5 linked regions of the Cricetulus griseus genome follow. The protein of the gene in region 1 purifies or fractionates together with the protein of each later gene. This does not show direct contact. Links are inferred from orthologs where the notes say so. Each region holds a gene or a part of one and is shown in the gene's direction. Other genes may lie near its edges.

Region 1 (4,042 bases):
CCAGCTCCCACACTGGGCAGCTGAAAAGTGCCTATAATTTCTGCCCCAGGGGATTCTAATCCATTGGATATACTCCCTGATTTACTAGCCTGCTGAAAACGGAAGTTAAAAGAAGAGATTTTGTAGGACGGTGGTGACACATGCCTTCAATCCCAGCACTCGGGAGGCAGAGGCTGGCGGATCTCTGTGAGTTTGAGACCAGCCTGGTCTACAAGAGCTAGTTTCAGGACAGCCTCCAAAGCCACAGAGAAACCCTGTCTCGAAAAAAACAAAAAACAAAACAAAACAAACAAACAAAAGAATAGATTTTAGTGGGGTATGGTATTTTTAGTTCCACCCCAGAAGTGGGGAAGCTGAGACTACTACCGGGCTACATAGCAAGACCATGTCTCAAAAGGGAGTGGGACAGATGTTAGAACATTAGATGACTAGATGAGCCTGATCTGGTGGCTCACTTACGCAATCCCAGCGTTTGGGAGGCGGAAGCAGGAGGATTGCTTGGGCTACCTAAAACAGTTCCAAGCCAGTTTTGGCTGGAAAACAAAGAAAAAGAAAAATCAAAAAGAAAAAACCTCAGGCTATAGAGAGATGGCTCAGCCAGTAAAGGCTGATGATGGGAATTCAATCCCGAGACCCCTTTTTGGCAGAAGGAGAGAACTGACTCCTGCAGGCTGTCATCTTATCTCCACACCGGCTGTGGCGCGTGCGTTTGCGAATATAAACACACACACACACACACACACACACACACACACACACACACACACACACACGTACACGCGCGCTAAGATGTTTTTTAGTTTTTAATCCTGAAGTAAACCAAACCAAACAAACCCCTCCGACCAAACACAATAAAGAAAAACGAAATGAAAACCTAGATGAAGAGTAAAGTCCTTTGTAATTCCAAGTTACAATGACTGGGCTGGGATTCCAACGAATATGGACTAGGAAGTCTCCTCAGCCCGGCCCCATGCCACCAACTACAATTAAGGGTGGAGGAAGTCGAGGGCCGCAAGGCTCCTTGGCTGCCACCTGCAGGTGCGTCCTCAGCCAATCAGTGGAGCCGGGGGCGGTGCCTTCAGGCTCACCTGGCGGCCGCAGCCTCTGCCTGGCTCAGTGGAGTGGGGAGCAGCGACGTCTCAGTGAGTTCTCGGAAGTTCTGCCAGACTCCAGCCCGGCCTAACCTGGCCCTGCCCGACCGCACCCGAGTTCCGTGTTTGCTCGGCGCCCGCCCGGCCAGCCATGAGATTCCCGCGCCGCAGCCTCTCCGCGATCCTGTTCCTGCTGCAGGTACTTGGAGTGTCCCGACTCCCGGCAGGACGCCTTCCGGCCCTGCGACCCGCTTCGCTGTGCCTTTCTTTCTGCCTGCTGCCATCCCTCTTTCCTTCTTCAAAAAGTTGGGGTCCAGAGGCGCGGGGCTGAGTGCTGTGGAGTGGGAGGGGGGTCCAGGCGAGCGCGGAGTGGCCGCCTCTCCCGCAGGTTCCCAGGTGGGGGCGCGCCACGCTGCGGGCTCCCGGGACCCCGAGTTGAGCAGGGTCCCGCTTTAAGGCGGGCAGAGGGGCCATGGAGCAGGACGGGGTCCTGCATGAAAAAAGGGTGGGGGGCAGAAGCAGCGCGGACGATCCGAGGTAAGGAAAGGGACTTTAGTAGCATAAAAGCACCTGCCGTGGAAAGAGGGGACACGGTAGACTGGGGGTGGGTGCTCTCTGGAGTAAGAAAGAGGAGTCAGAGGGTGTTTGCGGTCTAAGGAAAGTGGTGTCCGGAAGAGTAAAGGCGTCTCCAGTGTGATGCAAATGGAGTCAGGCAGTAAAGGTAGTCTAGGCTGAGAGGTGGTGACCCTAGCAGTCCCCTCCCCCAAGGGTTCTTGGAGTTTTGTGGCTGGTTTCGGGTTGAGAGGGTGGCGTCCCTGTCTGCCCCGAGGAGGGTCCTCCCACAATCCCGATACCTCAGGCGAGGGAAGGGTTACGTTGGTGGTTTCGGTGCGGGCTTCCCCAAGTCACCAGGTTGCTTACCTTTCCTCCACCCCAGGTCTCATCATGGCTCTGCCAGGAGCAGGAGCCCGAGCCCTGCCGCCCCGGCTTTAGTGCCGAGGTCTACACGTTCCAGGTGCCGTGGAGGCACCTGGAGAGAGGCCACCTCCTGGGCAAAGGTAAGGGGGCTCTGTTGGTGGGCAGAGTTGGGCAGGGGGGAAGGAATGGACAAAACTCTCCTTTGGGATTTACGCCGACTTGGAAGTCTAAATATATGAATTGTGGTTGATCAAGGTAGATTTGTCTGACTGTGCTATTTATACAAGGACAGGGATGGGCCAAGGATATTTAGAGGTTATCAGTGTTTCTCTGACTTATTGCTGGAGCCAGCCTATCATTTTAGACCGCCAAAACCTGCTGGGTAGGGCCAGTTTGCCGATATTCCCATTTAATGATGAGCAATCTGAGGCAGGGCAGGCATCTGAACCGGGATTTGACTCCCACTATTTAGGCAGTCACTGAAGAACTGGCTCTTAGTGACCTGTGGCTTTTGTTCATAGAGTTGAAAATATTTGATATAAGTTTGGCTTCTTCTGTTCTGGAACTCGCTCTGTAGACCAGGCTGGCCTCGTTAGAAAAAGATGGTAGCACTGACTCATACATGCAAGCACTCAGTATATTTCAAGTCTTATCTCACTGTGATAATCTAGAATTTTCTTTGCTTCCCTGTTGGGCATGGCTGGGAGCAAGGCAATGCCCAGGTTTTTTTACTGGCTTCCCTATTTTTTGTACCAAAACCTCTCATGATAGAATATATATATATATATGAAAAGTCACTCAATCCCTCTGACCCTCTGACCAAGTTTGTCCTTCCAGCCATAGGCCACCAAAAATGATGGTGGTGTCTAAAATTCTGTTGTTAACTTTGGAAGTTGTGCCCAGGTTTGCTGATGTGTTTTACAGAGAAATAGCAGCTCCATTGGTTAGTTGTATTTGCTTTTCTGAGACCTGACTGGTTCTGTGGAGCTTTCTCCGCCGAGGAAGGCAGTGCTGTCCTGTGACCCTGAGGTTGGAGTGGTCAATGCTTGCCCAGCCTATTTCTACTTGCTGTCCATCTGAGGAATAATCTGAGCAGGGATAGGTTGCTGAGAGCATTTTAGGAGACCCTTCAGTGGCACTTTGGGACAGGTTAGTGAGGTGTGGGTGGCCTGGGATGTTTCCAAGGGTACCAGTAGACTTCTGGAAAGATACCACCCAGTCTTGAGCTGTGCAGGATTAGACATGGGAATTCGTTGAGTATATAGTATTAGGTATCACAATCCAAGGGATGGTAGTTTTTCCTTTGGCATGATGACACATTGTTGTTCCTTAGTTAGGATGGTATTTGTGTGTATTAGGAGTGTTGAGGATCAAACCCAAGGCCTGCTACATGCTAGCCAGGCACTTTACTACCAGTCTATTGGTGTTTTTGTTTTTGTTTTTGAGACTAGATCTCTTTCATGAACTGGGCTAGTCTGAAATTCACAATTTTCTCCTGCCTCAGATTTGAGTGCTGGGATTATAGGCTTACCTTGGCACTAGTCTTGCTTTTATTTTGCACATCTAAGCTCTAGTGTCCTGTTCATAGTGACATAGTATCACAGTTATGCTCCCAACTGTGAAAATGAGATCTTCTGGAAGGTGGACACCATTCTAGTCCTTATAGAAAGAACTCAGGGGCTTGCCTGGCTTCTGTATTGTCTGAAGCATCTAAGACTAGTCTTTTTCTGTTTGGTTCCTTTTTCTCTCAGAAAGAGGGTGGGGGCAAGTGAGAACTGAGCCTTGGTGTGGTGGTTCATCCCTATAATCGGCACTTAGGAAGCTGAAGCAGGAGGGTTGCTAAAAGTTGTAAGTTTGAGGTTAGCCTGGTCTATGTAGTGAGTTCTAGACTAACCTGCGATACAGAGTGAGATCAGAATTTTTCTAGAAAAACAAGAAAGAAAAGAGGTAGAAAGGAAGGAAGGGTTGAAGGAAGGGCAGGGTATGTGTGCCTGTGTCTGGGGAAAACAGGGTCCATTGTAAAACAGACTGAG
Region 2 (4,214 bases), on another chromosome or scaffold:
TGGCCATTTCCTCTGAGAGCCCTGGCTGTTACTGTGACCTCAGAGCTAGAGGTAGTTCCAGGTGTGAGGCCGCATAGACAGTTCAAACCTACCTCACCTCTCTCTCCTCTCATGCCAATTCTGAGGATGAGTTGTCCTTACCCATTTTGCAGGTTTTTGGTGTACTGAGCTCAGAAAAATGGCGTGTTCTTGGTCATTTATATATTTGCAAAGAGGTAGAGTTGAGGCCTCAACCCAAGCCCATGGGTCCAAAGTTTGTACTTTGAAGCTTTCCATCGTCTTAGGTTTGGAAACGCCCAATGTCCAGATCTTTCTGTTGAACTTCCAGCAATGGATGTAGTGATACGCTGGCAAATATTTAACAAGCAACTCTCTGGAAGAAAAAGCTAAGGTATGGTTTGTCAAATTTCTCCATTTCCAAGTAGAACATACTTCCTTGGAGGCCGATGCCAGGTGACCAGTCTGACATCACTGAATATGGCCCTGAGAAGGAGGACAGCGGTCCTAAGTGTTTGCAAGCCTCTGAGAACCAGCTCCAGCACCTTACAGGAAGAGTAGCCACCCTTCCCCCAGCCCAGTGTGGCCAGTGAAGGCCATTAGACAAGTCTTTGGCGGGGAAGAGGGCGGAGAAACCTGCTCCTCCAGCCAGGGCCTGCCCAAGGGAGTCCTGGGAAACTGCCGTTAAACTTTAAGCAAGTCTTGCAAACAGGAGTGGCTACTTTGCCTGCTGTTCATGAGGATCCTGAGCAGCCCCGTTCTCTCTTCTGGCTCAGTGGGCTACCCTGGCCACACTTGCACTCAGCAGTGCGGCCTTCAGATCCCAGTCCTGTCCACTCCTACCTACTTCACAACGGGAGGAGGCTGGAACAGGAAACTGATGACTGAACAAACCCTGAGGCACCTGGCCTAGATGTGAACTTAGATCAGCCTGACTCAAAGCTTTGCTCCTTCCTGGCCTGCTGGGACATACATTGTACCCTGAGGCTGGAGCCTCTTATGTTCTGGGAGGATGGGAACCTGCCCTTCAGGAGGGGTCTCCACCAGGAGAAAGCTCAGGCCTGGTGCCACATTAACCTGGTTGGGTCTCAGTTGGCCACCTGTGAGATGGGAGCACTTTCAAGGAAGGAGGATGGAGGCAGATGGTCGGATTCATCTTTCTAGAGGGGAACGGAGGAGTCAGAGGTGGACCCCCTCCCTGGCCCAAGGGGCAGCCCTAGAACCTGGACAGGGACTGGCGTTTGTGAGGGGTGGTCTTTGAGACCAACCTGAAACCACATCCCGCCCCCTTATCCCATTTTCCTTCTCTACTTCCTGTTTGGCTGATCCTGCTGTCCTCAGTGGCTGACTACCTGCATACTTCCCAGCAGATGTACGTGGTCTCTGCATGCGCTGAAAATGAATTTAGGGCTGGCCTGATGCTTGCAGTCCCTGCCCTCCATAGGCAGAAGCTGGAGCCTCCCACAAGTTCAAGGCCAGCCTGTGTCACATAGTGAGCCACTGTTTCGCCTCTTGATACATTTTAATAAAGCTGCCTCTCTCCTCCTCACTCTGCCCCTCTGGTCCCAGTCTCTGGTTAAAGACAATCAGGTCAAAGCTGGTGTGGCCAGTTGCCTCAGTTTCCGTGTCTGGAAGATAGTGCTAGCCATCGGTGCGTAGCTCAGGTAGCTAGGTTGGTCCGGGGCGAGAGGGCGCCCCCGCGGGTGGAGCTGCGGGGAGGGGGCTGGGTGCGGGAGGCGCGGGGCCCGGCTCGCACAGCAGGTCCCCCGGGTCGCCGGCGGGGCCCGGGTCCGCGCTTCCTTCTTTCTCCGGCTCGCATCGGCCGCGGCCCCTCCTCCCGCGCGCTCCCTCCCCCTCGCCGCTGCCGCCGCCGCCGCCGCCTCCTCCCTTTCTCTAGGTCTGTCTCTCCCGGCCCGGAATCCACCCGGCCGCCCCGCCGGAGCGGCCAGGCCGCCGCCCGCCAGCGCTGCGCGCCCCGCTGGGGTCCGCCCGGGCGCGTCCGGAGCCCGCGGCCGCGCCGCAGGTGAGCGCCCCCGCCCCGCCAGCCCCGCGCCCCGCTGCGGGCTCCCGCCCTGCCCACTCCCCGCCGCGGCCCGCGACCTGCCCGGCGCGGCCTTTTGTTGGGATGCGCGGGGGAGGCCGGGCGGGGCGCGGGGGGCACCGGCGCGTGGGGACCCTCGGCCGCAGAGTCCCCAGCCCGGCTAGGCCACATCTGAAAACCCGGCCGATCGGCGCCGCCCGCGATCGCGGCTGCGGGGCCCTGCGCCCCCGGCCCGGAGTGGGGGTTGGGGGTGGGGTGGGCGCTGGGGACTGGGCTCCCTGGTGGCCACGCGACCTCCTTGGGTCTCCGGGCCTCGGTTAGGGCCTGGTGCTGTTGGCCTGGCGGAGACTGGGCCACTCTGTCCTCCCCTCACCCCCGCCAGCCCCCAGCCTCGCCCCTCCTCGGGCCCAGCGACCTGCCGGCTCCGAAGTTGGCAAAAGTTTTGGTGTTTCAGTACCACTACTAGGTCCACTTGCCCACCCGGGCAGGTACTGGAGGTGAGTTTGTGTCCCCACTAGAACCACCACTTGTCATGCTGTGTGTCTTGGAGACAACTGCCTTAGCTCTCTGAGCCAAGGCCCTTCTCAGTGATGGGTAGACGGCCAGGACTGCTAGGCTGGTTGAAGAGTGGAGTGGACAGAGGGGACTTTTCCCTGGGTAACCCCTAAACCTCTAAGGTATTCAGAGGGAGAAAAGTGGACAGAGACGTGTGAGGCTTATGAGGCCCTAAACAAGGTCTTCCCTGACTCACAAACTGTGTGAGCAATGGTGATGGGTTCACCTGGGTGGAAGTCAGATTCAGTTTCCAAGGTGGGCATGGGGGCGGGGCGCGTGCGGGGGTGGGGCGGGGCGGGCGGGGATGGGGCTCTTTCCAGACTTTTGAGTCCAAGCATCAAAGTCTCTTGTTTTCCTGGGTGATCTGAGCTGGGGGCTGCTCCTTGGATCCTTCACAGCAGTGACAGGGTCCTCAGGTGATTACTCCCTGTGCTTCTGGCAGCTAAGGAGTTGGCATGCATGGGGTGGGGTGTCAATAAATGAGTTCCACCCTGGAGCCTGCACAAGATGACTGGGGTGCTTGTGGCACAGCTGCCTGCAGGAGAGGGTAACTGTGTCTCGAAGGGTGCCCTAGAGCCTCAATATCCGAGCACCCTCCTGTGGCCCACAGCTGTGTGAATATAGTCAGCTCTGGGTTCCTTTTGCCTCAGTCTTGTCAGAAAGGAATGATCAATCAGATTGTGAAGGCACTCAGTGGTAGAGCACAGGCTTCGCATGCCCAAGGCCCTGGTGCTAGCCTTGGCACTACAGGACGGACAGATAAATCAGGTGGAGCCATGATGATCAGAGCTGTTGAGGTTCACTGAACTCCTCCTGGGGCTAGCTCAGTCTGCAGCTGGAACTGGAACTTAGACTTCAGAGGAGCTGGCTGGCTGCCCTTTAACCTGCAGTGACAGTGAAGGCTGTATAGTTTGGGGTCAGGAACAAGGCATTGTTGGAAAAAGACTCCTCCCATATCACCCCCACCTGGCAGAGCCATAAGGCCCTGCTGGAGATGGGGTGTGTCCCGGTGAGGTGGCCTTTCCACAAGGGGAAGTGACTTATAGTGTGTCACCTCTCAGCTGACTGCTTGTATCCTGGGGTACACACTGAGAATGAGTGTTAGGGGCACGCCCCATCTCATGTTCATCCTTGTTCTTCCAGCCTTAGGGCAACCCTATCTCTCCCACCCAATCCTCTTCTGTTTCCTGTCGTGTCCCTTTCCCCAGCCCCCCACCAGCCTCCAGCTTATAGGCTGCCTCCTGCTTGGGCTTTTACCCCATTCTCATCTGACAGTAGGGGTGGGAATGGAGCATGTCTGGGTCCTCTAAGTCCCAGGATCTAAGGAGGACTGGCTAAATGGTTTTTGTCCCTGTTATCCACCTGGTCCTCGGCTGTCTTTGATCGTACATTGAGCACTTACTATGCACTAGGGCCTGTGAACTTTGTTGAGCAGCTTTGTGGTAGGAGGACGACAGCTTCCTGAAGGAGGAGCTTGAGCTGGAGCAAGCAGTGGCCAGCTAGCCAAGAGTGCAGCTGGACCAGTGTTCTTCCCCTCTGCTCAGAAGGTCATCTGCCTGGGGACTTGCTGGGAAATTGTGAACAGGTCCTTGGCTTCTAGAAACTGGAGTAAGGCGGATAA
Region 3 (4,084 bases), about 99 Mb from region 1:
GGGTTCAGGAGAGCCCCCGCCCCCAGAGTTGGATACTTAAAGAGGCAAGTGTTAGAGACTGCAGACTGACAGCTCTTCCAAAGGGAAAGCAGGGAAACCCAGACATCACCTCTTTTTTGTCACCTGTGAGAGCTGAGGCAGAAGCAGCCTGTGATCTCTGCAGCTTCAGATGTATGGGGGCATGGAGAGGACCTGTACCTGCCGTGAGCCCGGGAAGATAAATGCAAGCTTGCCCTGGTGGGTACTAGAGCACCCATTGTATGCCAGGTTCCAGGGAAACTACTACACCTACTCTGCACACAGTTCCTGCTAGACCTCATTCTTCTTCTTCTTCTTCTTCCTCTTCTTCTTCTTCTTCTTTCTTTCTTTCTTTCTTTCTTTCTTTCTTTCTTTCTTTCTTTTTGTTTTTGTTTTCAAGACAGTGTTTCTCTGTGGGTTTGGAGGTTGTCCTGGAACTAGCTCTTGTAGAACAGGCTGGTCTCGAACTCATAAAAATCCTCCTGCCTCTGCCTCCCAAGTGCTGGGATTAAAGGCGTGTGCCACCAACGCCCGGCTAGACCTCATTCTTAACCTTACTTTTTGAGACAGTGTCTCATAGTTGCCCATGTTGTCCAATCTCCCGACTCGCAGCAATCCTCTTCCTTCAGCCGGAATCACAGGCAAGCTTTTCACTTATTTTACAGAAGCCCTGGAGGCTCTCCCTCAGGAATCCAGCAGAAACCTGTTCGGTGTTCCTAGGCTAAGAAAGAAGCACACTTCCGGGGAAAAGAAACTGCGCCGTGCAGGTTGGCTGGTTTTCCTGAAGCAAGGGTGTGCGTGTGTGCGTGTGCGTGTGCGTGTGCGTGTGTGTGTGTGTGTGTGTAGGCAGTGTGTTCCATCGCCCGCGGGTCTGGGGAACAAAGGCTGAGGGGCCCTGCGCTCCTGCCGGTCCCTGCCCCTGCACCAGTGTACTTTGGAGTCATCGGCCGCGATCTCGGGCTCAGGCACCAGACCACGAGTCACCAAGGATGGGAGCCCACGTTGCATCCAGCACAGGAGAACAGAGTCGGGTCCATCTTAGTCCCTTCCCATTATTTGCCTCGCCGCCTCACTCCTTCCAACCTCTTGGACCCCTCTCTCTACCCCTCCCCACGCCTTACCCCTTCCCTCCCTAGCCCCATCCAACTTCTTGCTCCCGGACTTCTTGCTACTCCAGCTCCCTGTTTCTTGTCCCTCCCACTCTAACTTCTTGCACCCCTATCTCCCACTCGCCCCGCCCCCTGCCCCGCCCCTTAGCCCCTCCCCCCTACCGCGGCCCGGGGCTCTGGTGCTGGGCGAACATGGCGGCGGCGGTCGGGCGGGACACCCTACCTGAGCACTGGTCGTACGGCGTCTGTCGGGACGGCCGCGTCTTCTTTATCAAGTGCGTGAGGGGCGGCGGCACTCGGGTAGGGTCGGGCGCTGGGGGCTGGGACCCGGGGCGGGTGTGTGGGGCGGTGGCGCTAACAGGTGCACCTCTCCCGCAGTGACCAGCTCGGCTGCACGACCTGGCTGCACCCGCGTACCGGCGAGCCAGTCAACTCTGGTCACATGATCCGCTCAGGTGGGCGCAGGGCCAGCGGGGAGTAAGGGGGGGACGCCACGGACGCGCGAGTTTCACCGACTTTTCTCGCCTTCCCGCAGACTTGCCGCGCGGCTGGGAGGAGGGCTTCACGGAGGAAGGCGCCAGCTTCTTCATCGAGTGAGTGAGCCTGCTCTGCGGTCGCACCTGACTCTCCCCTCCGCAGCCTTGGCGGGCTCGGCGCCCCGGGTTTGTGTGCCCGAGGGTGGCGGGCTCGGGGACGGCCGCGCACCGGGGTTCGCCGCGCCGCGGGGGGCCTGGCCCGGTTTCTCCCGCCCGCCGGCGGCCGAGCCAGCAAACTCCTAGGCTCCCGGGACACGCCTACCCCCGGGGCGTGTGTTGGGCACAGTGGCGGGTGTCAGGGAGTAGGGCTCGCGTGGGTCCCGAGTGTGGCCTTAGGGCTTGGGCGTGGGGGAGGGTGAAGAGGGGCGGCGACGCTTGTGGAAGGTGGTGTCTGGCCGCGCTGCCTGGGATCGCCAAGGAGAGCTGGAGCGCGACCCTGGCGGCTGCATCCTTGCTCCTCAGGGATGGGATGGGGGTGGGGCTCCCGGCCAGCCAATGATAGTCCTGGATGGAACTCTACCCGCGAGTCTTCGGCGGGCGCTGAACGCAGACGAACGCGGACTATCGGCTCTGCCTGGACTAGTGGGAGTAGGAGCTTTGGCGTCTGAGCCGCGGCGTGCTGCTGCACCAGTTACTCTGGGTCTGATCTCGAAGCCATAAGGGACACGAGTAGAGTCTTAATCTTTCCCGCTCGGGAAGGTGTGCCTGTGTTGCAGCGTCCCTCTGCTTCCTGTGGTTCTTGGGAGTCAGAACTTGCCTTTGAGCCTTTGCCCCACTGGCATAGAGTAGGAGCTCGGTAAATGTTTGTTTATCGAATGAATGAACTAGCTAAAGATCTTCCGGCCAGTGGTTTGACTGGCACTAGGTGTACTGTACTGTGGTGGATCGTGATTCAGAATTCATTTCTCCACCAACTTGGAAACACTGTTTAGACCTGGGACTCTTGTATAGTGGCTGAGACTGATGGATGAAATTTTAGGAGGGGAGGTGCTCACTGTTCCTGCTCGCTGCTTTGAAACCCGCAGGAGGAAAGGAAACAAAGAGTGAACAAATAATAATAGCAGTTAGCGGTGACTGCTGTGCAGAAAATTAACACGAGGGGATGCGATTTGGAGTGATTGGGTGACTTGTTGGATTGGAAGGTCGTGATGACTTTTTCTGTGCAGGTGACATCTGAAGTTTGAATGCCAAGAAGGATCCTTGCTGTGGTTGACCAGTAGGGGCAAAACATTTCAGAAACATGTTTAAGGTACAAAAACCTTCAAGTTCAGTGAGCAAAGAGGCTCTTGTGGCTTGAAGGTGGTGACCAAGGGAGAGTGACACTGAAGGGGGTCACAGGTAGGGAGGTAAATGATGAAGCTGGACTGAAGTAAATAGCTGCTAAGCTTTATTCTGAGCCCAGGGAGAATGCAGATGTTTTCGAATGGGAAAGTGGCATGCCATGCTTTGCAGTTGTAGGAAGAATGGGTCTGGGTGGACAGCGGTGCCAGGGTGACAGGAGAGCAGTATGAGGCTGTGGTCCAAAAAAGACTGTAGTGGAGGGTGGAGCACAGAGATGGAGAACAGTCGTTAGACTCAGGCTGTGCTTTGGATGTAGTATTTACAGACCTTTCTAACGGGTTGGATGTTGTCTGACAACATTCAAAGATGACTCTCGGGGACTGGGAAGGTGGCTCAGTTCATTAAAGTGCTGGTCACATAAGCATGAGGACTCACGTTAGATCCCATAAGAATCCAGTATAGTGACATGTGCACTTGTAATCCTAGCTCTGGGGTGGCGGAGACAGGAAAATTTGGGGCTTGCTGGCCAACCATCATAGCCTAATCTATAAGCCCCAGGGGCCAGTGAGAGAAGCTGTCTTAAAATACAAGGTGGACATCTGAAAAATAACACTTGAGGTTGACTTGACTTCTGGCATTTATATTCACAGGCACACACATAAGTATGCACTCATGCACTTGTGTAGTACACAAGAACACACGCAAGTTCACATGTATACACTCACACATGCACATAGATGACTCCTAGAGGTGAGAGTACCTGAATGGGTGGTGTCCATATCTTTGAGATGAGAAGGTTGGACTAGAAACAGGCTTGAAAAGATGATAAAATAAATATGCTAGGTGGTGTTGGTACACACCTTTGGTCCCAGTACTGGGGAAGCAGAGGCAAGTAAATCTCTGTGAGTTTGAAGCCATCCTGACCTACAGAGCGAGTTCCAGGATAGCCAGAGCTGTTATACAGAGAAACCTTGTCTTGAAAAACAACAAAAAGATCTTATTTTGCTGTTGTACCTGTAAGATGGGAATATATCATATAGATCAGCGGTTCTTAACCTGTGGGTCGAGACCCCTCTGGGGGTTAACAACCCTTTCACAGGGGTCACCTAAGACCTTGGAGAATATTATATTTACAGGTAA
Region 4 (4,169 bases), on another chromosome or scaffold:
AAGCTTTAAGGTGTGCACTAGGCCAGCACGCTTTTCTTTTTTTTCCCACTTTTACACCAATCTCACTTTTAAAAACGAAGAGTTTATAAATCCCTCCCTCTGCCAAGGGGGATTGATGCAAGAACCACGCTAGAAACAAACACACGCCTGAGCAAGAGGGATTTAATTCCGTTATAAAACCAGTCTTGGCCCCTCCCCTCATAGAAACTCAGGGGCATGTCATCTAACATATGAACCAATATTCTTAACTTTATGATGGAGCTAGCCTGCTTTTGTCCATCAACTTTATAAACCCTCTTCATTTTTACTGGACTTGAAATGCATCCCCTACCCTCTCCCCTGTGGCCCTGGAGTCACGTTTTTAGCACAGTTTGCACACTAGCATTTCGCATGGTCATTCCAATCTAATCGCCCCCGCCCCCCGACCTCTTCAGAGAGCCTAAATTAGCTTAGCTTTTAGGCAGAGAACCAAAGGGAAGTTGTGGGTTGAGTCAAAGGCACCATAACAGCTTTTCAGGGTGGTCTCTCACTGCAAGCATAGGGTCGTCATCTGATTCCCTTGGCTGCATTTGAGAGACCCGTCAAGGATACACGCGGGAACCACCGCTGGCTCCTGCTGCCCTCAAGTTAACCACTGCTTCTCTGGGAACTGCGCTGGAGCTTCATAGGGCTTCCACACGCACGTTATCTGATGTGATCCTCAGGCCAAGCCCGTGGGGTGTGCGTCGTCCCCGAGCCTATTTTACAGCTGAGGTAAGGATGGTGTCCACAGACCCAGTCCTAAGGGCCGCCCACTGCCAGGTGGAGGAAGTAGCCGTCTGGCAGGAGGGCAGGTGTGCCTCCCACAGCCTCTCACCTGGCGGGCGACCGAGACCAGGGAGATGGGCCTGGCGGCGGAGGCCGCTCAACATGTCGAACCCCCCAATCTATCTCCGCCAGCCTGGGCCGGGACCCCAGTCCCCGACCCGCCTCACCACCATCTCCCCCGCCCCCAGGCTCACCTTCGGATCGCGGCAGACAGCGTCTGGAAGGGACTGAGAAGCTTCGCGTCCGCCGCAGCCTGCCGGGGTCAGAGACCCACAGTCCAAGGCGACCGCGGCGGTGGTCACCCAAAGGCCTGTGGGCTCCGGGGGAAGAAAAACCCGTACCCGGTCAGTCCGCTGACATTTCCCCGTCAGTCTGAGCTCCACCCACTTCCGCTTGCCTGTCCTCTCCCCAGCCCCAGTGCCACCCTGCGCCGCGGGGGGTTGTGGGTATCTGGAGGGTTTGGCAAAAAAAAAAAAAAAAAAAAAGTAAGAGCGGAGGAAGGAGGAGTGAACCTAGTCGGACTGCGAGCCAGGCCCCAGAACTACAATTCCCAGCAGGCGACGGGGCATCAGAAGGCGGCTGCTGGAGAGCGGGATGCAGAACTCCGCGCGCGCGGTGGTGATGGAACGTTGCTAATTCGCGGGTCCGGCTGCTGGGGCCCCGGGGCATTACTCTGCGGCGCGCGCTGGAACGGGAATCTGGGAGGCAGGCAGGTCTTCACTTAATACACGCATCCAAAACCCCTCAATCCGTGAACGCAATGCACAGGTAAACCGATTGCAAAAACGGGCAAAGCATGAATGAACCGTTTGAATTCTTTTAGGCCGCGAATGTTGCTTCTTGCTCATCTTATTATGTGAATGGTTGCTTAGCCCCCTTTTTGAAGATAGTGGATGGATGCATGCTTTCGTGAGAATATCTATGTGCCGTTTAATTTGGCTTCCTAATTTGGTTTTCCTCCCACTATTTTGAATCATGGTATGAATGCCTTCCCTCTTTTTCCCTCCACGGGAAGAAATTATTGAGGCCTTCTGCGGGACCATAAATACCAAAGCCTTTCGAAGTGGAGTGTGTGTTTCCGATTTTCTTTCATTCTTGTGAGCTCGCTGTAGGCACGTTAAAAATGCAGTACTGTTACTCACTGTAACTTTTCTACACTGCATACTTGACGCTTCTTTCATTCCTACCTTGGAATTATTTAGGGGTATGCTTTCAAAAGGAATGGGGAATGTGTGCCCTTCTGCAGGAAGCACCTTCAGGAGATTCCGGACCAGAGTAGCAACGTCACCACTAGCTTCACATGGGGATGGGATTCCAGCAAGACCTCTGAACTGCTCTCAGGCATGGGTGTCTCTGCCTTGGAGAAGGAGGAGGTGGACAGTGAGAACATTCCCCATGAACTGCTCTCGAACCTCGGCCACCCCCAGAGCCCTCCAAGGAAAAGGCTAAAGAGCAAAGGCAGTGAGAAAGACTTTGTGATCATCCGTAGGCCTAAGCTCAATCGAGAGAACTTTCCAGGTAAAGTATGATACTAAAATTCAAATTATATAAGAAATGGATTGCACTGCTTTGTTTGAATTAAATTGATTGAACGATTTCCTTGGGGGATCTTTAGGATGGGTACCTAAAATTGCCTAGTTTTGAAGTGTTGCCGTGAAATGGAAACCAGTCGTTGAAGTCTCCTGGAATCTTGGTAGGTATTTATCTTCTGGTTCACAATTGACTTGAAACTTTTAACCCACAAGACAGCATTCCTCCCCTTTTCCTTACAAGGGAATCTCCCTGCTCAAAGTTCAGCTCAGCACACTGATGAATGGGAATACAAGCAGGATCTTAGAGGATTCCTTTAGTCTCTAATGCACTGCTTTGTACCAGAGTGAACTTTATAACTTAATCACTTAGGTTATTTGGAGGCACACTAGGAAGGTAAATGTTAATCTAGGGGGAGGAGATTTACCTCCCTGCTCCACTTCCAACAGGCTCTTGGGGTGTTGTGTTTCCAGTTCTGTGGCATTATAGTTACAATCATAGAGCCCTAAAACTTACTTAGTCTGATCCCCTATTGTCCCCCAATTGACATCTAGTCATTGTACCTTTCCTTCCTTTGTGACAAGTGATCCAAGCTTTCACAATCTCTTCCTGAATTATTGTAATGGGTTTATAATTTCAGCTTTTTTTTTTCTCAGTTCTGTCACCCAGAGGTGAAATGGATTGATTAAAATAGAATTTACCTTAAATTATCCCCTTACTAGTGACTCCCATTCCCTTATTTCCCAAATATTTTTAAGCAAATGCCTCCCAAGTAGATCAAGACTCAAGCACCCAGGGCCATAGGGTAAATATAGTGTATTGACTTGAGGCGTTGACAAGGTTCTTTTGTTTGTTTCTTGTCTTTTAAAAGAGTGATTCATAGCCGGGCAGTGGTGGGCATACCTTTAATCCCAGCACTCAGGAGTCAGAGGCAGGTGGATCTCTGAGTTCAAGACCAACCTGGTCTACAAGAGCTAGTTCCAGGACAGCCTCCAAAGCCACAGAGAAACCTTGTCTCAAAAAAAAAAGAGAGTGATTCATCAAATATTTGCTGAAAACACACTATGGTTTCCACAGTATAGTGCTACGAATATAGCAGTGAACAAATCATACACATTTCTAAACCTTAGAACTTCCTTTCCAGTGAGGAAATAGTATAAACACATTAGACATGCTATTCTATGTAATGGGTTAGGCCATGGTAGCCAAAAACAGAAACAGATCAAGCTGGGGGAGAATGGAAGCCCTGCAGTCAGAAGATAGATTGTAAACTGGGTATTAACTAAAACCCTTAATTGGATAGTGACCTTTAAGCAAACAAAGGCAAAGTGGAGAGAGAGCAGGAGTATGTCATGAAAATGTCTCTTGGTGTAAAGAACCTTAAGCAAAAGGAGCAGCCACTGTAAAATTTCCCAGAGAAAAGACTAGGCCATATAGTAAAAGTAGAGTAGGGAGAAATATGGACAGCCCCCTTCTTTTAAGATCTTACCTCATTGAACCCCCCCTTCTTTTTTTGTATTTTCATGTTGTTTTGAGACTGGGTTTCTCTGTGTAGACCTGGCTGTCCTAGCACTCTAGACCATGCTGGCCTCTAATTGATCTACTTGCCTCAGTGCTGAGAATAGCAATGTGGGCCACCACCCAGATGCTCATTGAACCCTTTAAAGGAATACATTGGTAAACTGAGACTAAACTGTAGCAGGTAGAGTATAGACAACAGAGCTTAGAGACATGTTAAGATGTGGGGAATAATAAGCAGTGGCCAGATTCTGAATAGAGTCCAAATTTAGAGACAATAGAAATTAGAAGGGTATTGAGATTGTTAGTGGAGG
Region 5 (3,958 bases), on another chromosome or scaffold:
GGGCCACTATCTTTCAAACCACCAGAGTCAAAACCCCCAAACTAGAAACAAAAAGCATGTAATTGGACAAGAATGGCCTTTTTTGTTTGTAGTGCTGAAGACTGAACCCAGGGCATAGTAGGCATCTCCAAACCACTTTTCCTAGAATTAAAATTTATTACTTTGTGTGGGTGAATATGCCACCTGCACCAGGGTGGAAGTCAGAGGTCAACTCTGTGGCCTTCATACTCTTAGTACGTCATTGTTGGTAGAGGGCAAACATTTTTACCCACTGATCATCTCTCTCATCTGCCCACTCTTTAAGAGGCCCCAAACCAAGTGTAATGGTGCAGGCCTATAATCTCAGCAGCTGGGAGGTGAGCAGGAGAATCAAGAGTTTAAGGCAAGTTGGCACTGGCCACCCAGCCCTGCAACCTGAGTTCAATCCCCAGGACCCACATGGTGAGAGAAAACCACAGATTATCCTGATTTGTACACAAGCACAAGCTTTGTGCCGCCCCTCGGCCCAAATGCAAAAAAAAAAAAAAGTTTATTCTTGCCGACATAGCCAGTTCAAGACCAGTTTGACCTACGTGAGAACCTACCTCAAAAATAAAACTAAACAAACACCAAAAAACAAAAAAAAAACCCGAAACAAAACAAAACAAAAAACCGTTCTGAGAATCGGATTCCCGTTCCACTGTGCCGGGAGATGTGGAACGTTTACTTGGAGTTGTTTCTCTTCGGGTAAAGCAAGGAGTAGGCTGCCCCCTTTTCTGGGCGCCTTGGACCAGGGGACAAGATGACATTCGCCACAGGAGTGAGACCAGCAGGACCCCGCGGCGTCACGCTGGTCCCGGGACGTCGGACGGGGCGGGGCCTTCCGGGGCCGCGCCCCGAGACTCACCTGAGTTGGGAGCGGTGACTCACCTGCCCTCCGCCCGCCTTCCCCGGCTGCGGGCTGTTCCGTGAGTCGCCGCCCCTCCTTCCCGTCGGGGGTCAGGCTGTGCGCGCCCCGAGGCCGAACGAAAGGGACTTCTGGGGGTCCCAGCCTGGAGTTGCCAGGCTACCATCCCGGAGGGAGGCTCTTCCCCGAAAGCGCCCGCCGCCGCAGGCCGGGACGAGCGGTGTGGAGGCCGCGGGAGGCGCTGGGAAGAGCGCGCGGAGGGAGGTGCCGGGAAGGGCGGGCGGGCGCGGCGCGGGGCGGGCCGGGGGCGGGAGCGCAGGGCGGCCCATTTCCTCCTGGGAGCCGGACGGGCGGGAGACAAAGCGGCGGCCGTCGGCTTGGCGCCTCAGGAGTCGTCCTGCGTTCTCCTCGCTCGCCGCAGGTAAATCTTTGTGCCTCCCCTCGGGGCGCGCGCGGGGCCCCTGGTGGGCCGAGGGTCTCCGCTGGCCGGGGTCCGGGTGACGGCGCAGGCAGGCTCTGGGCGGCCTCCGCCCTGGGGAGCGTCGGGCCAGGGCGGCTTCCCGGAGCAGCCTGGGCCTGGGCGGGCGGAGCCCGACGCTCGGGAAGCGGAGCTACCGCCGCGGCGCCTTCTCGGAAAACTTTCTCCCTCTTTCTAAACTTTGTTCCCCGAGCAGGGCGCGCGCTCGCGGGACGGGCGTCGCGCCTCGGGCCGCCTCCCCCGCTGAGAGGCGACCTCGGAGTGTCTCTGGCGTTCCGGCGGTGGGGTGTTTTAAGGGTCGCGATTGTTCCCTGGATTTGTGCCGGCCGCGCCCCTCCCCCCTTTCTCCCCCTCGCTGAAAGTTGGGCGTTTGCGGGGGCCAGAGGTCGGGGGAGCTGGCATTCCAGTCCGACCCACGGAGTGTGAGAGCCGTAGCTTCCTGCTCTCCAGGGCTCTTGTCCTTTAAGGTGCGCCACACCCGTGTGAACCTGTGGCAAGAAGTTGTTAATCTTTACTTTAAAATTACTCATCCGCGTTCTCTGCCTGACTGGACTGACTTTACACCCAGTTTTCAGGAGTGGCGTTAGGGTCTTGTTACTGACCTTGTGCTACCGAGGGCTGGTCTTGCTAAGTAGCCCAGGATGGCCTGGAACACTCGGGCTCCCTGCCTTAGCTTCCCGAGGGCGGACATTGCAAGCCTGCGATGTCAATGCCCCGCCTTCCTTTAAAAGGAACTTGTTAATGTGTGTAGAACTTGGAGGAAAAATGTTGACTGGATGGGTAGCCTTGGATTGCAAGCAGTGGCCATCCCAGTAATTCAGTTAGCAGTTGGCTCAAATTGACGGTTGATACCCTCTTAAGTTCTTCGTCTTCATAACATTTTTTGTGTGTTTTGTATAGAATGCACAATAATTTATAATGTAAACTCATGCATACATCACTGTATTGTGTATGTGTATTGTATCTTTATGATAGGTGTTTTTGAAAAGGATATTTTGTGTTTAACTGATTCTTAAAGACTACAGGTGGTTGTTACTTTAAGAAACGGAGTTTGTTTTAGTTTACAAAAGGATTGAGCGGGGAAATCATTCGTAGCCTCTGCTCAATTGTTTATACGTCCTGATTCAACTAAGTCAGAAAATAGGTTTTAAAATTACTCTTTGTTTGAGGATCAGAAGTTTCTCTAGTGTCGTATCCTTTTTTTTTTTTTTCCCCTCAGACTGGCTCTCACTATGAAATCCACGCTAGCTTAAGCTTCTTGATTGTTGGGATTCAGACGTGTTCCATACGTAACACCTGTCTGGGTCAAATTTGTGTATAATGCAAACAACAGAAATTCACAGATGCTTGGAGTGTTAATACGTTTATAAGTCTGGGAGTCCTGGAAGGTGGTGGCTTTTGAATTGGGTGAAGCACGAGTTGAAGTCACGTGGCAGGAGAAAGTAGGGGAAAGGCATAAAAGGGCATGTAAGTGTGGGGAATCTGATGTTCTGTTTTTTGTTTTTTTTTTTCTTTAGTTTTCACTCCCTCCCTTTCCTGCATGTAATCTATCCTGAGAACATTGGTTTTCAGCACCAGTTATATAGTACCACCTCCATTCCCATCAGAAACATTTTATATATTGGTTAGAGATGAGGGGTGTCTTTTTTCCTAGTTGAGAATCACTGCCTTGTGCCTTCTCTCATCAACCCCCCTTTCTGCCCTCTGTGGTGTTGGGGAAACAAACCTAGAGCCTTGTATATGCTAGTCAAATAATGTACCATGAGCTGTACAACCCCCCTTACCTCTGCCATCAACCTTAGCTGCTAACGTCCCGCTCCTTTTTTTGGGTTTAGGTGTCTCTCTTGAGCCACATGGGTCTCCTTGTATATCCCACGGCTTCTCAAACCATATCTGATGTGAGACTTAATTCTGTTTTGGAGATCTCAACCAGATGTGGAGAGCCAGAGTAACTGGTACGAATGGTCTTGAATTCTTTTAAAGTCACATTACTGACAGCACAGATAGCCCTGCTTGTTGAAGGTGGTGATAGTTAAGTGTACTGGCTAAAACCTAGACCAGAATAAAGGAATAGGGTCCTTAACAGATGTATATAGCCTGAGCATTGGCACAGTATTTGGAGGACTAGAGGTGTAGAGATGATCTTTGTATTATGAGTACTGAAATAGGGAGGTTTAATAAGGTGGTCAGGGAAGGCAAAGGCCAGGTCACAGATGGCTGTGTGTAGATTTTATTCTAAAGCTGTAAGAAGCCATTCTAGGGCCTTCCATGATCTGAGCAGCTTTTTATTTTTTGTTGGTGCTCAGAGATTTGAATTCTTTCGTGTCTAAAAGCAGGGAGTTGACTGAGGAAGGTAATGTGGATAAAGGTGATCAGGATGAATGGAGTTGTATTTTGGAAAAGGGGGTAAAGATTGGTTTGGTGATGGGGTGTAGGCCTCTTGATAAAGTTTTTTTTTTAAGCATTGAACTCTCAGTTATGTCTCAAGATCTAGTGTAGCACGAATTCTAGCAGTCAGCTATCAGGCTGAAAGCTGAAAGATCACAGCAGCAGAGCAGCCTGCCCCTAGAGAGTTCTCACCTCCACCAGTGCTC

Evidence for each region.
Region 2: the proteins of Cdh1 (region 1) and Src purify together in Homo sapiens (affinity purification with western blotting; 5 studies listed by BioGRID and IntAct, with this or other methods). This does not show direct contact. The link is inferred for Cricetulus griseus from reciprocal best matches to the Homo sapiens genes CDH1 and SRC.
Region 3: the proteins of Cdh1 (region 1) and Plekha7 purify together in Homo sapiens (co-immunoprecipitation; 3 studies listed by BioGRID and IntAct, with this or other methods). This does not show direct contact. The link is inferred for Cricetulus griseus from reciprocal best matches to the Homo sapiens genes CDH1 and PLEKHA7.
Region 4: the proteins of Cdh1 (region 1) and Skp2 purify together in Homo sapiens (affinity purification with western blotting; 3 studies listed by BioGRID and IntAct, with this or other methods). This does not show direct contact. The link is inferred for Cricetulus griseus from reciprocal best matches to the Homo sapiens genes CDH1 and SKP2.
Region 5: the proteins of Cdh1 (region 1) and Ctnna1 purify together in Homo sapiens (affinity purification with western blotting; 10 studies listed by BioGRID and IntAct, with this or other methods). This does not show direct contact. The link is inferred for Cricetulus griseus from reciprocal best matches to the Homo sapiens genes CDH1 and CTNNA1.

What each region holds. Positions count from the first base shown.
Region 1 is NC_048596.1:182,914,898-182,918,939, forward strand, and holds the start of Cdh1 (cadherin-1), read left to right. Parts: upstream 1-1,242; coding exon 1,243-1,290; intron 1,291-2,028; coding exon 2,029-2,149; intron 2,150-4,042.
Region 2 is NC_048599.1:22,117,671-22,121,884, reverse strand, and holds the start of Src (proto-oncogene tyrosine-protein kinase Src), read left to right. Parts: upstream 1-1,414; 5' UTR 1,415-1,648; intron 1,649-2,405; exon of another isoform or gene 2,406-2,535; intron 2,536-4,214. UniProt on the Homo sapiens protein: Non-receptor protein tyrosine kinase which is activated following engagement of many different classes of cellular receptors including immune response receptors, integrins and other adhesion receptors, receptor protein tyrosine kinases, G protein-coupled receptors as well as cytokine receptors.
Region 3 is NC_048596.1:84,335,198-84,339,281, forward strand, and holds the start of Plekha7 (pleckstrin homology domain-containing family A member 7), read left to right. Parts: upstream 1-1,284; 5' UTR 1,285-1,319; coding exon 1,320-1,402; intron 1,403-1,505; coding exon 1,506-1,582; intron 1,583-1,662; coding exon 1,663-1,720; intron 1,721-4,084. UniProt on the Homo sapiens protein: Required for zonula adherens biogenesis and maintenance. Acts via its interaction with CAMSAP3, which anchors microtubules at their minus-ends to zonula adherens, leading to the recruitment of KIFC3 kinesin to the junctional site.
Region 4 is NC_048595.1:342,748,792-342,752,960, reverse strand, and holds the start of Skp2 (S-phase kinase-associated protein 2), read left to right. Parts: upstream 1-1,369; 5' UTR 1,370-1,567; coding exon 1,568-1,575; intron 1,576-2,053; coding exon 2,054-2,325; intron 2,326-4,169. UniProt on the Homo sapiens protein: Substrate recognition component of a SCF (SKP1-CUL1-F-box protein) E3 ubiquitin-protein ligase complex which mediates the ubiquitination and subsequent proteasomal degradation of target proteins involved in cell cycle progression, signal transduction and transcription.
Region 5 is NC_048595.1:202,375,355-202,379,312, reverse strand, and holds the start of Ctnna1 (catenin alpha-1), read left to right. Parts: upstream 1-1,158; 5' UTR 1,159-1,307; intron 1,308-3,958. UniProt on the Homo sapiens protein: Associates with the cytoplasmic domain of a variety of cadherins. The association of catenins to cadherins produces a complex which is linked to the actin filament network, and which seems to be of primary importance for cadherins cell-adhesion properties.